2 linked regions of the Alligator mississippiensis genome follow. The protein of the gene in region 1 interacts with the protein of each later gene in a pairwise test. Links are inferred from orthologs where the notes say so. Each region holds a gene or a part of one and is shown on either strand. Other genes may lie near its edges.

Region 1 (7,582 bases):
GCTGCAGCCACTGCTGCTGCCACCACCACCACACCACACACCTAGATCCAGCCTAGGGCACAGGGTCAGTTTTACACCCATGTTAGCCATTAGTAAAGCCAGAGGACTTCAGTGCACTTTTAGTTCTGACAATATTCCTTCAACATGAATATACCACAGTGCAATGAAGTAAAATGATAAATATTAATAAATAAGGCGTTCTGAGAGAAAGACATCAGGGTAGGCAACTTTAATGAAAGCAGTCTCTAGTGTACGTCTGGATCATCACAGACAGTCTAACATGTCAGCATTACACGACTACCAAAAATATGAATCTTATAGCCCCACCAAGTCAAAGTCAGATACAAGCCAAAACTAGATAGTCATGTGGCAAGGATCAGAAGAAAATTATACTGAACACAGAAACCACGATTTGGTCTTCTGGGCGAGTACTGGAAGTGTCTATTCAGTATTAGAAGGGCATGAGAATTACTTTAAGCTTAAAATATACTATGTCTCAACATAAACAGACTGCAGACAATAAGCTTTGAATACCTTTCAGTGACACTTAGAATGGTAAAACTCTTCACTTCCTTCAACTTTTTTGCAACTGGCAAGTGGCCAGAATTAATGTTTTAAACACAAAATGTACCAGATGTAATTATCTATTAATTCTGAATCCAGTACTTTGCCTTACCGAAAATAAAAGCATTTAAATGTTTTTGTAGTAATCTGCCTTCTAACATCCCAAGTGAGTTGCTTTTAGGTAAACCTCTGAAGTCTGAATCAAAGGAGTTATTTATTCTTTACCTCATGGCCAATTCCCTTAACATTTAATGTTTGTGAAGGCTAGCATGCCCCCACCCCAATTATTTACTCTTGGGCAAGCACATGCGAGAAGGGATGTGGATGTGAACAAGTTATGTCAAGAATCCAAAATTTTACCCAGAACTTGCAAAGTAAATTTACTCGAGCAATGCTTGCATCCTAAAGGACACCACTGATTGTTTTTTAAGCTTTGCTGCCTTTAACTTAAGAAGGAAATTATATTGTCCTGATTACTCGTCCGTGTGAGGCTTGTTTTATTATTAAGGAAAAAAGGTGTGTATTAGTGTATGCAAATAAAAGTCACTCACCACCACTTTCCTGATGATATATTCATAATAGTACATCTATTCCCCAATTTTGACACTCCTTTCCTCCCATGCCCAAAAAAAGAAAAAGAAACCCTGCTAACAGAACTTCAACTTGTGCAATGCTCCTTAACTGCCTGACTTTTTACCATCACAGCCACCATTTCAACTAGTTCATTCTTACCAAATTATAATGCAACAAGCTAAAAAGCAATTAACATTTTGTTCAGATAAAATAACCCTGCCAGTCTTAGCAGCTCATTAAAATTTTTTTAAAAGATTTAGAAAGAGACTAACACAGCAAGCTGTACAGTCAAGTGTCAACTAGAAGACTGACTCCAAAGGAGGTCTGCGTTCCCAAGCCAACAGAAAAGAAATTTAGGAATTTACCTTTTCAAAACCTATTCAACATCTACAAAGGACATGCAAAAAAACATTTTGTTACAGTTCTCCCTTCCATAGCTTTCCTGAAACCACCTGTTTTTCTACGTAAGATGGCAGTGGTAGCCACTTACTCAGTAAAGATAAATTACACACATTTTAAATATTTCATGCCTCTGAAATGCAAATCAAGGCCAGGTGTGCTGTTTCCAAGAGCTAAATTACTGTATCAATCAGTAATAAGTCACAGGAATGGGCAGACATTTAGTTGATGTTTTACTGAAAGGTGTTTAGCAAGATGCATATGTAGCAATTCGGAGCAGATTTACACTGCCCTTTCACAGGCTTCTCCAAGACGGAAAAGCTTCACAGACTTGAGGTATTAACAAAACAAGAAGCTCCATCTATGGTCCTTAACACGTAACTCCAGGGTATTATTCAAGTGACAAGAATACTGATGCAAATAATTAAGCTATTTATTTATTAACATGTTCTTTAAGGGGAATGACATGACATCTTCCTGATCCTCACAGAAGAACCTGGCTATACAATCCTGACTAGTTAGCAGCAACGACAATGTCACAGGTTAGGATATCTAACTGCCCACTCTATTCCTCTGGCACAATTTTAACAATTTCTGACAATTTTAACCTATTTACATCACAAAGAACTTTGTCTACTACATACACAATTAAAAAATGCCAAAATATTTATTTTGAAGTTTTGTAGATACTTAGCACTTAACTCTGGCCCCTTTTCCTTAGTATTCACACAAAGTGAGAATCATTTTAAAAATGTCACAAGATTTGCAACAATCCCCTTTGCACAACTCATCTCTGGAAAGTGCCCACATTAAGATTAGGCATATCCACTAGGCCTCCCTTTTAATTGGCCCTAACCCTACTCAAATAAAATATACAAAAGTACTAAAAATTCACACTCATGCAATTTTCATGGGGGGGGGGGAAGGGTGCAGCTCAACACCGGATCATCTGAAATTGCTCTGCATGCTGGTAATACCAAAGTTGCCATCCAATTTCCTAACCCCAGAAGCTTTTCTTCTCTTGATCAGCTTTAAATGACATCCACGACTATTAGTGGTCCTTCTGCCAAACGAGTCCCTTCAAGCTTTATGACCGAGAAGACATCTGTAGGAAACGGCAGGTGACATTCAGGATGGGTGCATGCCTTGTGCCATAACGAAAAAAACGAGAAGTATCAAAACACGGGCGAATGTGACATTAAGGACACGGTCACTCCATGAGTCTTAGACTGACATACTGGCATAATCCCCAGGGAAGATGTGCTCAAGAAAAAAAAAAAAAAAAAAAGCCTGTTTTAGTTCCAGCTTTCCAAGGAGCCGGCAATTCTCAGAACATTTCAGGTCTGCTGAGGTTGGGGGGGGGGGGGAAGAAGGGGGGGAAAACAGACACACACACACAAACCTGTTTAAACCAAGGTGGTATTGCAAAGTGTCCCTCCTCAAAAGATCCGTCAGCAAAAAATAGTGCATGCCACAGTGACTGCCCAAGCCTCTATTCAGCCCTCAGCTGTCTCCAAACCAAAGAGACACTGGAAAGCGGCATCCCACTGCTACTGCTGCCTCACGACCCAGCAAGACTAGGAGGGCAAAAGCCAGGACAGCTGTGGCTGCCCCCAGGGGGACCTGGCTGGCTTCTCACACTTCCCTCAGCTTGAGGAGAAGAGACCAGGGACCCTCCAGCCATAGCTGGGCTGAGAGCAGCCGTTGCATAAGGAGCCCGAGGAGGCTCCGGCAGCGGGGGAGGGAGAGGGCTGCGCCGAGCCCGAGCGGCCCTTACCTGAGCGCCAACGCGGGCATGCTGCAGCCGGGCGGGGCCGCGGGGAGGCAGGCTGCTGCCCTGCCCCGGCGGCGCTGGGATGCGAGGGAGCGGCAGAGCAGCTGCTGCAGGGGCCGGGGGGCATCGGGGTCACCCCCTCCCCCGCCGCGTTACATAAAGCGGTTACACACCCGCGCGCGCGCACACACCCGCGCACAGGTGGGCGCCAGCGAGCAGAGCATCCCATCCCCGCCCCGCCCCGCCCCGCCCCGCACTCACTTGCCGATCACCTCGCACAGCTCGTACACGTCCTCGAACAGCACGTCGTCGTCGGCCATGGTCCCACCGCGCCCCGCGGGGGGGAGGGGGAGGTGCCCCCCGCGGCCCCGCCGGGCTCCCCGCTCCAGCCGCGCCCGCGCTGCGGCTCCGCCTTCCCTCCGCCCCTCCCCCCGCGGCGGCCCCGGCTGCTGCTGCCGCTGCTGCTCCGGCCGCGGCGGCGGCTCCTCCCCGGCGGCGGCTGGCGGGGCGGGAGGAGGCAGCGCCGTCTGGCTGCGCGCGCCGCTCGCGCACGGTACGGGGAGGGAGGGGAGGAAGGGGCGCGCGCCGACACCCGTCACGCAACCCCCGCCGGCGCGCGCATCCTACGCACGCATTCGGGGCTGCTCCGAGCAGCCCGCCCACTCCACACACGCACGCAAGCTCGCCTCGCCGCCCCGCCCCGCCCTCCGCACGCAGAGCCACGCCCACTGACCGTAAGAGAGCGCGGGGGAAAAGCCGGAGTGCGCAGGCGTAGGGTTGTGTGACGTCATCCGGGGTGGGGTGGCTGCTTCCCTCGTGAGGCCCCCGCCGGGGAGGAAGGCGGCCTCTCCCCCCCTGCGGGGAGCCCCGCGTGCAGACAAAGGGCAGGGAGGATGTGGATGATGCCCCCGAGTAATGTTGCAGTCCCTGTCCTTGTCCTGCCGGCTCTTTTCCCGCTGCAGCCCGAGAAGCAGGCTCCACCTCAGCCTCTGTCCCTCCTCTCTCTGTGAGCGTGCAGTGTCGTCTCTCGAAGTAAGGAAAACCGAGCCCGCCGCTGGAAAGAGAAGAAAAGCAAAGTCCCGGGGGCCTCTTGTTTCGGCGAGGCAGCTGAACGGCTCTGGTTCTCGCTGTCCCGCCGAGCGGGGCTGTGTCCGCAGTCGCTTCGTTTGCAAAATGTGCAGCCCCTGGTCTGGCCCTGTTCTGGCACCTGCGGAAGGACGGGCAGGAAAAAAAGGCTAGGGCAGCGGTTCCCGATCTGTGGTACAGGCAGCACCAGTGGTATGCAGACAATCTGTCGATGGTGTGCGTGAACCGATTTATTATCATTACTTCATATGACAAAAATTGGCTGGGGGCACTTAGGGTTAAGCTGAAACACTTGCTGGTGGTACTTAAGGTCGCATTGTTTTAAATTGGTGGTGCGCAATCTGTCATTGGGAACCGCTGGGCTAGGTGGTGCCAGCGGATGCTTGCCTGGTATTGGCAAAAAGCCGATGGCAGAAGGAAAGGGAAGCTGTGCCCCTGGAGGGGTACGCAGAGGCTCTTATCCAGGAAAAATGTTTTTCTGTTTTCATTTTGTCAAGTTAATTGCATTCAAAAATAACTTCGGCGCACAAGGGATGGTTAAAACTCATTAACAGCAAAGGCTATGCTGTCTTCCCACACGTCAAAGAGAGCCCAACTAAGAAGTGTCCCATAAGGTGTTCTAACAGTTTCTACACCTGTGATTCTCAACTAAGGCGCTGTGGCACCCTGGGGTGCCTGGAGAGCCTGTCAAGGGTGCTATGCAAAGTTTGTAATGTTGAATGTGCAAACTGATTCACAAGATAAACCCAGAGGTTTCAAGCCAGAATCCGTAGCATCAAACACACTGGGACCTGTTGCGGGCCTTCTGAGTTCTCTACAGCAGAAAAACCACTCTTATTAAACCCCAAGTGAAAGAGGCTAAGAGAATATGATTGTTGATCTACACTCGGGTCTCTCTTTATGCAAATTCATTTTGTGCAAATTCACTTATATGCAATGACCTTAATTTATACCTTTAATTTGCTTTGTGCAAGAAAAATCCAATCTTATGCGAAGTTGCCCAGAAACTAGTTCCCTGCCAGCTGGCAGAGTTCCAGCTGGCAGGGAGCTGGGAGGAAGAAGAAGGGAGGTGACAAGACAGGGGACACCATGTGCATGCACAAGTACATGCACATGGCCCCAAGTAGCCTCGAGGGCAGCTCTGGCAGGTAACGGGGGGAAGAGGGGGATTGAGGTCCCTGTAGGGAGGGAGCTGGGCAGGCCTGGGGCTGCTGTCCAGCCAGCGGGTACATGGGGTCTAGAGCTGCAGTGCGCAGCTGCAGGGCCCAAGAAGAGAGCAGGATGGACCCTCCAGTGGCTTCTCGGTAGCTCCCCGCTGCCGCACACACTTCCAAGGGGAAGAGGAAGGGGCAGATGCATGGGTGCAGTGGGCCCTGGCCCTAATCCTGGGCCCAGCTCGGCTCCTCTCCCTGCCTGGTCCCAACACCTGCATCCCGCTGCCAAAGAGCAGCAGGCACAGGAGGCATGTCCCCAGGGCAGCGCAGGATGAGCAGCTGCCATTCCCTGATGGCCTGCTTCCCTGCCCCAGGTACCTCTCCAGCCTGGTGGATGTGACCCAGTGAGGCTGCACAGAGAGGCTACAAGCTCCCTGCTGCACTGGGTCACACCTGCTAGGCTGTGGAGGCACCCAGGGTAGGGAAACAGGGAACAGTGGGGCCGCACAGAGAAGGTGCTCACCCCGTGCTGCTTTGGCAATGCACCTGCTCCACAAGCTGCTGCTTGCTTCTCAGGGCAAGCACCTTCTCTGTGCGGCCCCACAGTTCCCTGCTTCCCTGCCCTGGGTGCCTCCACAGCCCAGCAGGTGTAACCCGGTGCAGCAGGGAGCTTGTACTCCCTCCTGCTGTTCCCAGCTGCATTGAGTTGTGCCCACGAGGCTGGAGAGGCACCTGGGGAAGGGAAGCAGGGTGGAGCCAGGCACGGCGAGCAGCTGGCATTCTCTGCCACCCTGCTTCCCTCCCCTGGGTGCCTCTCTAGCCTGCCCTGCGCTGCCCCCTGCGTGTGCTCACAGCCTCTCCACGCAGCAGCTATTGTATTGTGTGATTACTGTTTGAATTTGTCATGGTTTGGGGGGTCAGTAGAGTGCGGCTGGTACATATCCCTATTAATTACATGTAATAATGGATTCGCTTTTTGCAAATTTGCTTTATGCAAGGATTTTTTTGGAATGCAACCCTCGCATAAAGAGAGACCCGAGTGTATTAGCAGAGCAGCATTAGTAGCAGATCCTGACAGAGAATGAATTTGTCTGCCTGTCTGTGGTTTTGATCTTGGATGTCATGCCCAACTTGGGGGGAAGTCATACTTTGTTTTCTGGCAGCAGACTGATATTTTTCACCACAGCATCCAACAGACCTTGCTAGATTTTGCCAACCATAAGGGGCCTAGGCCTAATTTTAAATTTTCAGGTTGAATCTCTGCAGCATTTCTAGAACCCAATAAAATTTATTCCGTAACTGCCTAAAATGTAAGCAGTGAAGACTTTCAGCGTGTCCCTTTCTGGAATGGTTTACTTATAAGGATGGTAGCCTTTTGACCTCACTGGGACATTTAGGTGCAAGAAGGAATGCAGTCTCCTCTTTCTCTGCCAGTTTTTTTCCAGAGCCTCATTTATTTGTTTTGGATTCTCTAATTTTTCTCACTGCATCTCACAAATCCATCTTCTCACTCACCACCTATGTTGCTGTGTGGCAGAATAGACTTGGAGCCAAACTCCCAACAAGTCCCAAAGCCCCAACTTAACCATGTGGCCTTGGAAAAACTCACATCTGCCAAACTTGGGAATTTTCCACTACTAGCATGCAGATGATGCCCAAATGCAGTGAAGGTTTCTCAGCACCTCTAAAAGTAAAGAACCGTGTCAAATGAGCACCACAAACTGAAGGCCATGCCCTTGCACCCTCCCCACACGCACACAGCAGAATTAGCATTGGTGTTTCTAGCTGTTAATCTCCCTGACTCACTTTATGTAAGAGATGAAAGTGAGGCTGGGAGATTAACAGCCAGAAACACAAATGCTCAATTTTGCTCTGCGTGCATGTGTGTGGACATATATGTGCCAGCACATGTCCCTGAGTTTGTGGTGCCCGCATGACATGGTTCCTTACTTTTAGAGTTACTAAGAAGTTTTTTAAAGTTATTTAAGAGATGAAAATCACCAAGTTCTCATTTGTTTTAATTTCATAATAG
Region 2 (7,399 bases), on another chromosome or scaffold:
CTCCTCTTCCATTCGTTCTCATCAATTACTGATACCAAGGAGAAATATTTTAATTCGACATTGTTCTTAGATTCCTATTTATAAAAATGTTAAAAAAAAAATTAAGATGCCAGATCAGAAATAATTACTACTTCGAGTTGTTTTACCTAGTATTTGGAAGAGATGATCTAAGCACCGAACACAACAATTAAAAACAAAGCAGACAGGTTTAATATCTACCGTCCAGAGAGAGGGCAAAATAAAAAAAATAAATTAAATTAAAAAAAAAAAGAAGAGAGAGGAAGAAAACCCAAACCCCCAGCACTAACACCCAAACCAAACCCTTCCCCAGGCACTGACGAGATCGCAGTCGGGTTGAAATGAACCAGCACCCCGAGCGCAGGCAGCAGCACCGAGCAGTGGCTCTTTTCAGACTTGCTTAAAATCCGCCCAAGAGAACCGAACACGTTCTTTTGGAAAGGAGGTAATAGCTATTGACAACTATCATGTCCTGGAAGTGCCAATAGGGTTCCTCTCGCTCACCCTGGGAGAGATTCATTACGGACACTGATGCTTGTTTCGACCTAAGGGAATATTTAGTCTCCGGACCCTGCACCAGACTAAACAGCGTCTGGGAGAACCGGGGCAAGGGGAAGGCTCCGAGATATGAACCCACACCCCTGCTAGTGTCGAGGGTTTGGGGCTCGCGGCTCTTGCTGGTCGCAGCAAAGGGCACAGCATTGCAACTTTTACAAATAGATATCCCGACTCCTGTATGTTTGGGACAGGGGACAGCGTCCCCCGTCAGGGCGGGCGGTGGCCTGCCCTGCTCGGAGCGCTGCTGCGGCCCGGGGGAGGCTCCGGCGCGGGTGAAGGAGACCGCCTAGCTCTTTACATCGGTGTTCTGGTAGGCGGTGACCGCTATGAACTGGGTCTCGGGGAAGGTGAACGTCTGTACTCTGCCCGGCTGGTTGGTGTCCTCCGTCCCGTCTTCATTCACCTCCACCACGTGCAAGCGGGGCTGGTACTTGTGCAAGGACTGCAAGACCACCATCTGTCAGGCAGAGAGAGGGGAGGGGAGCCGGGGAGAGAGCCGCATCAGAGCCAGGGCAGGGGGAAAACACTGAGAGCGACTGAAGCGCCGGGAGGAAAAGCCACCGCCGCCGATCCCTCCCCGACAAGCCGGGCGAAGCGCAGCCCGCTCCCGGGCGGGATTTTCCCCTGCTCGGCGGTGCGGTCAGAGGCAAAGCCGCAAGCCCGCGGGCAGGGGGGAGCCCACGGGGCTGCGCTTCCCCGCCCGAGCCTGCGATGTGGCCAAGGAGAAAGCTGGGGCCGAGCTCGATCCTCAGGCAGCGCCGGGCCCCACTGACCTGCCCGTTGTTGTTGGAGGCTCCTTTATTGTTTGTAAGTTTCAGCTTCCCGAAGGAGATCTCCTGGCGCATCCAGTGGGCCCCGGTGTTGGGGGAGTCGGGGTGCATGTACACCCGGTTTCCTGCACGGACACAAAAACACCCGCGCTGCTTACCCGGCTCGGCCCTACCCGCCTCCCGCCCGGAGGGCCGCGAACCCCGGCTTCCCCGGGCTGGATCAGCCGCGTCCTCCACCTCCTTCCCCGCGGGTCCTTTTTCTCCCTTCTCCTTTTCTTTACCCTCCTTCCCCCCACGCCAGCCTTGGCCCGCTCCCGGCTAGGAAGTCGCCAGAGCCAGTCCACAAAGGCTTTAATTAATCCTTCTCACCTCCGCATGTGTCGGGAAACGTGTTAATTGGAAGCACTTGCCTTGCACATTGGTGTCCGCCTTGCCGCAAGGAACCCATTTGCCTCCTTGAAATCTCCAGTGGTTGGGATCGGCCAGAATGACATCCACGAAAATGTTGTAGTGAGCCGTGGGATCCAGGCCGGAGATGTTGAAACTTAGGAAAGGGAACATGCGCCTACGGACAGGGGAAAGGGAAAGAGGAAAGGGAAGAGCCAGCGGCGCACGGGTGCGGAGGGAACCCGGCGGGGCCGAGGGAGCCGAGAGCCCCAAGTAGCCGAGGGGGAAGCCGGCAGAGCTGCAGGGAAAGGCTGAGGACAAAGGCAGGGGGGGAACAGCCGCGGGGCCTCCCCAGGGAGGAAGGGCAGAGACCCGCACCCGCCGCCAGCCCCCCGCTTTCCCCAGGCTTGCGGGCTGCGGTCCGGGTCCCCCAGACATCCAGGCTCGGGCCGGGGGAGCCCGGCGTCCCAGCCCCGCCAGCCCGCGCTGGCTCCACGCAGCAGCCACAGAGAGCGCCGCTTACCTCCCTTGCTTGGTGATGATCATCTCTGTCTGGTGCCGGTGAAATTTCAGCCAGAGTGGCCTGTTGCACAGGTAGACCTGCGCCTTGCCGGGCACCAGCCCCGGCTGGGTGGAGGAGAACTGGTAGAAAGGCGCGCCTTGGTAGGAATGGCCATACTGCTGGGGGTAGGGGTAGCCCGCCGTTGGGTAACCTTGCGGAGAAGAGTTGGACAGGAGGCTGTTGTAAGCTCCATTGGTGATCACAGGATGGTGAGCCATGTAGCGGCTGGGGCTGGCGATAGAAAAGGCTGGGTGAGCGGGTCCATGCTGGCTGGGGTAAGGGAACATGGTACTAGGAGCAGAGGCAGCGGACTGGGGCTGGCTGGACTGAGAGAGCAGATAGCGATCTGCAGCAGATCCATCGAAACTGTGACGAAGCTCAGAGACCCCGTCCAAGACGGGAGAGAGTTTATTTCTCTGGACGTCCCCTGGTGTGTCCTTGGAGTCAGGAAAATTGTCTGTATCTGACTGATTCGTCATCCCCCTGGTAATTTTTTTCAAAGGTGAACTTCTCTCCAGGTTGTCAGTGGTCGAGATAATGGGATGATCATGCAAGGCAAGCTCAGATCCGCCTGCATGTGGGTAACTGCTGCTCACATTGAGAAATTTCTTGGAGAGCATGATAGAGGGAGAAAGACAATGCTCCAGCTGCATAGCTCTAGCACCACAAGAATAACCCTTCAGTCCCTGGATCTGAAAGGGCTCCTTAACACTAGAAACTAGACATTGCGGGACCCTCGCTAAGCAGAAAGCACTTCTTCCACCAAATGCTTCCCAAACGTTTGATTTACTTTTTTTTTTTTTTTTCCCTGGGAGAAGAGATTGGCCAATTGACACTATGCAGCAATCAGGAAAGACTCACTTTTGATCTTGCTGCTTGTGGAGCGGATGAAACGGCTCCTGCCATTGGTTAACTGCTGACAGTAATTTAATTAGATAGACATTAATTAGGATAATCACCTGGCTCCTGGTCGCGACGATCATGGCAAATTGAAGGAGATGATTTTGTGAGATAGAAGGGAGCTGGGGGGAGCGCGTGTGTTTGCTGGGAGTGCTCATTATTGTGTGACCTCCCGAGCTTTGTGACTGTGGATGGAAAAGAAATCAAAAGACGATTTCTGCGACCTCCTAAATGCTGTTCTCTCCCTCGCGAGCAGGGGAGCGCTTAGAGGCTGGAGGTTTGGGGTGCAGCCAAGGTGGCAGCATTCACTCGGACTGCAAGGACGGCGCGGGGCAGAGCTCGCGAGCCACAAGCCGGTGGCCTGCTTTCACCTTAGCCTCGCGCAGTGTCTCTTTCCCGGCTAATACGAAGTACGCAATAGCTGCGTGGACTCTTTTATAAGATCTCCCCCTGCCTCCCCGCCGCCCCCCGCACGAGCTGCTTCCCGGGGAGGAAAGAAAGCTCCCTCCCCGCGACGACTGCTGCCGGCCCCGGGCGCGGCGCGGCGCCTCTCCCCATCGGGCAGAGGGCCCTAAGGCACCGGCCGTGCTGGTCACGGCCGCTTTGGTGCATCAATATTTCATGTGTGCGCTGTAATGCGGACGATAATCGCGCCAGGCAGGCATCCTTCTCCACATTGCCTTCCACTCGCTGTCTTTTTTCTTGCAGTGACTCAGGCGCGGAGAGCTCTTTTGTAAGAGATTTGTCATAGAAGCGATCACCCCGGTTCGCAAACGAAGCGAGAGCTGTCGCCAGGGGCCGGAGCCCGCCGAAGGGCTGTGCTGGCACGGCGAGTACCGGGGCCACGGGCAGCGCCCCCGGCTGCCGAGCGAGGCGCCCCCGCAGGCAGCGGGCAGGGCGCGGCTCTGCAAGGGGGCGGCGCTGGCGGAGGCAGCCGGGCCCCTGCGCCCCCCCTGGCCCGTGCAAGGTCATCGGCCGCCCCCTGCCAAGCTGCTCTCGCGGGCCCCGCGCGCACACGCTGCTCTGCTTTCGGCCCGTGCGGGCAGGACAGGGCTCGTGGTGGCTCACCAGTGCGCCGCCTGCCCTTCCCCAGCAGGCGCAGGGCTGGGAGCTTGTGCAGTCCTCCCGGTGAGCACCTGGTTACATCCCCCCACTCCTTCAGAGACCAGCTCTTGCCCTCTCTCCCACTCGTCCACCACCAGTAACCAGAGTCTTGGCTGCTGGTAAGAAACCAGAGGGGGAAGGATGGCCCCCAGCAGAGTGAAGGCCCCCGACCTCCCTCTGCAGCCAGGCTGCACCCTGGCAGAGGTGCCAAATATACGTGGAAGCTGGGCCTCAGCAGGCCTGCTGTATCAACACCGCAGCTGCCAACCTGGTGGTGCCCTCTGATCCTTCAATGCAGGAGCCAAAAACATTGTAGCAAATATTCTGTAGGTAACTAAACGAGAATTCTGTGGAAAAACTAAATGTGGTTAACTAGAAAGACCAGGTGGTCTCCTAGTTCTCTTCAGCACCTTCCTAGATGCCTATTTATTATAAAGCATTTGAACCTGCAAAGCAGTTCTCTGCAAAAAGCAAAGAGAAAGCACAGTTACAATGATCAAAGAAAGCTTTGCTCTTAAGCGACACAAACCTTACTCCCCCAAATACTATAGTGGAAATAATTCTTCTTGTATTTTTAGTTTGAGCATTTGATAGTTCTTCATTCAGTCAACTCAACAATGATGCCCTCCTTTGCACTGTCACAGCTCAGATGGTAAATAATTTCTTGAGGAACTATCAATGAGGTCAGCAACAAAGCTCCAACTAGTGGCAAAGACCAAGATCATAAAGAGAAGAGCAGATAGAGGGGAGTAGAAGTGAGCAAATTTGGTTCTGCACTCTCCTGCCAATCAAAAGAACAACTGTTCTAAACATCAGAAGGAAAAGTAAATTTAAAATGCCCTTTAAAAAATTCAATACCTTTTTAAAAATGTTTTCTTCAAATAGATTTTAGTTCATTTAAAAAAAACCCCTAACATTTCAAAATCTGAAAAAGATTACAACTACTTGGTTTCTTCAAGTATTATTGTATGTATACAGTGAAAAGCCATACAAAAAGGTTTTTAGCTTACATAAGATACAGCCAAACATTACATTAATTTGTAAATAAATGCTAACGAAACATTTGATAACGTTTCAGGTTTTGATTTTGTAACTAAAGTACAAGATTCAGTAAATGTATTTGAGATAGAACAATAACTGAGTTCACAGCTGACTAGGAAGACCATGTTTTACAGTGGATATAGTCTTCAAGCCTCTCTGTAAAACCATTTCTAATGAAATCTTTCACAAATGCCAGTCATGCACACTACTGTGTTAGTCTTGATTTTTGAATGGCTGGTTGGTTAACGCATACTATTTTCCATACCATTCATCCTGTTTTCCAGGAATATATAGCAGTTTTCTGAGCAGAGCTAGTTACATACTACGCTGCTACAGTTCTTGGTGCTTGTTTCTTTCACTAATACAAATTCTCCAGTGTAAAACTGCTATGATGATGATAGCACCAGCTGAAAGATCAGGAGACATAAGGAAGAACTTCTTCACAGTTCGAGTGGCCAAGGTCTGGAACGGGCTCCCAAGGGAGGTGGTGCTCTCCCCTACCCTGGGGGTCTTCAAGAGGAGGTTAGACGAGTATCTAGCTGGGGTCATCTAGACCCAGCACTCTTTCCTGCTTATGCAGGGGGTCGGACTTGATGATCTATTGAGGTCCCTTCCGACCCTAACATCTATGAATCTATTAATCTATGAGACAAGGCAAAATCTCCAGGAGACATAGGGGAAAGACTGCATTACACATTTCATGTAGTATGTTCAACCATGGCATATCGATTTACATTGCAGAGATGTAATGAATTCTGCTGCAAACTGGGAATTATGTAACAGTACTAATGTATTCTGAAAAAACCCTTTATTTTGTCCTTTTGTTAAGCGGGCACCACTGATGGATAGGTAGTGGTAGGCTAATCCGTTCTTAGAAAAAATGTGAAAAAGGTTGGAGAAGAATTGCAAAAGGCACTCTCTGCGACTTCTCAGGGTGGTCAGGTCCTAATGAAGCTTGGGTGCTCTCTTCCGGACAGTAGTCTGGTCCCTTCTGGCCATGTCACTACATGCATCCTACTGTCTCAAACAGCTATGTAATCCTTTCTTTTTGGGTTCTTAAAATGCTTAGTAGATAAAGAAGTAACAACTAGAACATGACAGAAAACAGAATTTGACAGGTTTATGCAGCATTCATATAAAAGAAAAAATGCATAGCCAGGCTGCATTACACACAGGACCTGGGTGACATGGTGCAAGCCCAGGCTACAGCAGATATGCTTCTTCTTGAAAATAAATTCTTCTTCAGTTACCCGCTGTAAAACATCCTCACTCCCCAAATATCAAACACCTGATACATTGGTGCTACTTATCAGGAACTTTGCATTTTTCCCTTCCTCCTTGCCTGGTGTTCTGTTGCCTTCTTTTGAGGCTCATAATTGGTAAGTTTGCAAACATCTGCATGTATTTCTATTTGAATTAGATGTGTATTAAGTATAAATTGACAGAGTTCTGTTTGTAAATAGTATCTAACTTAAAGGTCAACATCTGAACAGGCACAAAAAAAAAAAAAGCACAAAAAACGCCTTGTAATAAACTAGTGAACAACAGACTACAGTTTGCACTGCATGGAATACTTGCTGCCTACAGACATAAAATGGAACAATGAGGCAAAGCTAGGCTCTACCAATCACACCAGTCAAGTCCCCCTTGTAATTCTGTCTTTTAAAGACTCAAATCTAGCAGGAGTTTAAAATAGTCATCTGCCTGAACCTGTGAATTTTATTTAATTTTTTTTTTAAATCACTTCATTAGTTAAACAGAATAATGTGTGAGAACAAAAGTATAAGAGGAACATTAGTGATTATGGTCTCTGTAGCTGCCTAATACTGAAAACCACCTGTTTGGATTTACTGAGACAGGAGCTAGGTTTAAATAAGGTAAATGCACAAAGATAATTCCTTTGAGCGAGTGTTCCCATACCCTCAGAGCAGGAAGGGGCTTGAGAAGTCTTTTTTGCAACTGGGACTCTTCTGTGGGACTTGAGATTTAATTTAACCTCCTCTTACTGCTAAGGAATTGTCTTTATGACTGACCTCCAGTCACATTTTATTTTTTCAGG

The links. The genes of interacting proteins can lie anywhere in the genome.
Region 2: the proteins of CASK (region 1) and TBR1 interact in a two-hybrid assay, tested with the Homo sapiens proteins (2 studies listed by BioGRID and IntAct). The link is inferred for Alligator mississippiensis from reciprocal best matches to the Homo sapiens genes CASK and TBR1.

What each region holds. Positions count from the first base shown.
Region 1 is NC_081824.1:303,752,607-303,760,188, reverse strand, and holds the start of CASK (peripheral plasma membrane protein CASK), read right to left. Parts: upstream 3,022-7,582; 5' UTR 3,007-3,021; coding exon 2,939-3,006; intron 1-2,938. UniProt on the Homo sapiens protein: Multidomain scaffolding Mg(2+)-independent protein kinase that catalyzes the phosphotransfer from ATP to proteins such as NRXN1, and plays a role in synaptic transmembrane protein anchoring and ion channel trafficking.
Region 2 is NC_081827.1:220,053,972-220,061,370, forward strand, and holds the start of TBR1 (T-box brain protein 1), read right to left. Parts: upstream 3,063-7,399; 5' UTR 2,949-3,062; coding exon 2,257-2,948; intron 1,912-2,256; coding exon 1,757-1,911; intron 1,472-1,756; coding exon 1,350-1,471; intron 1,034-1,349; coding exon 875-1,033; intron 1-874. UniProt on the Homo sapiens protein: Transcriptional repressor involved in multiple aspects of cortical development, including neuronal migration, laminar and areal identity, and axonal projection.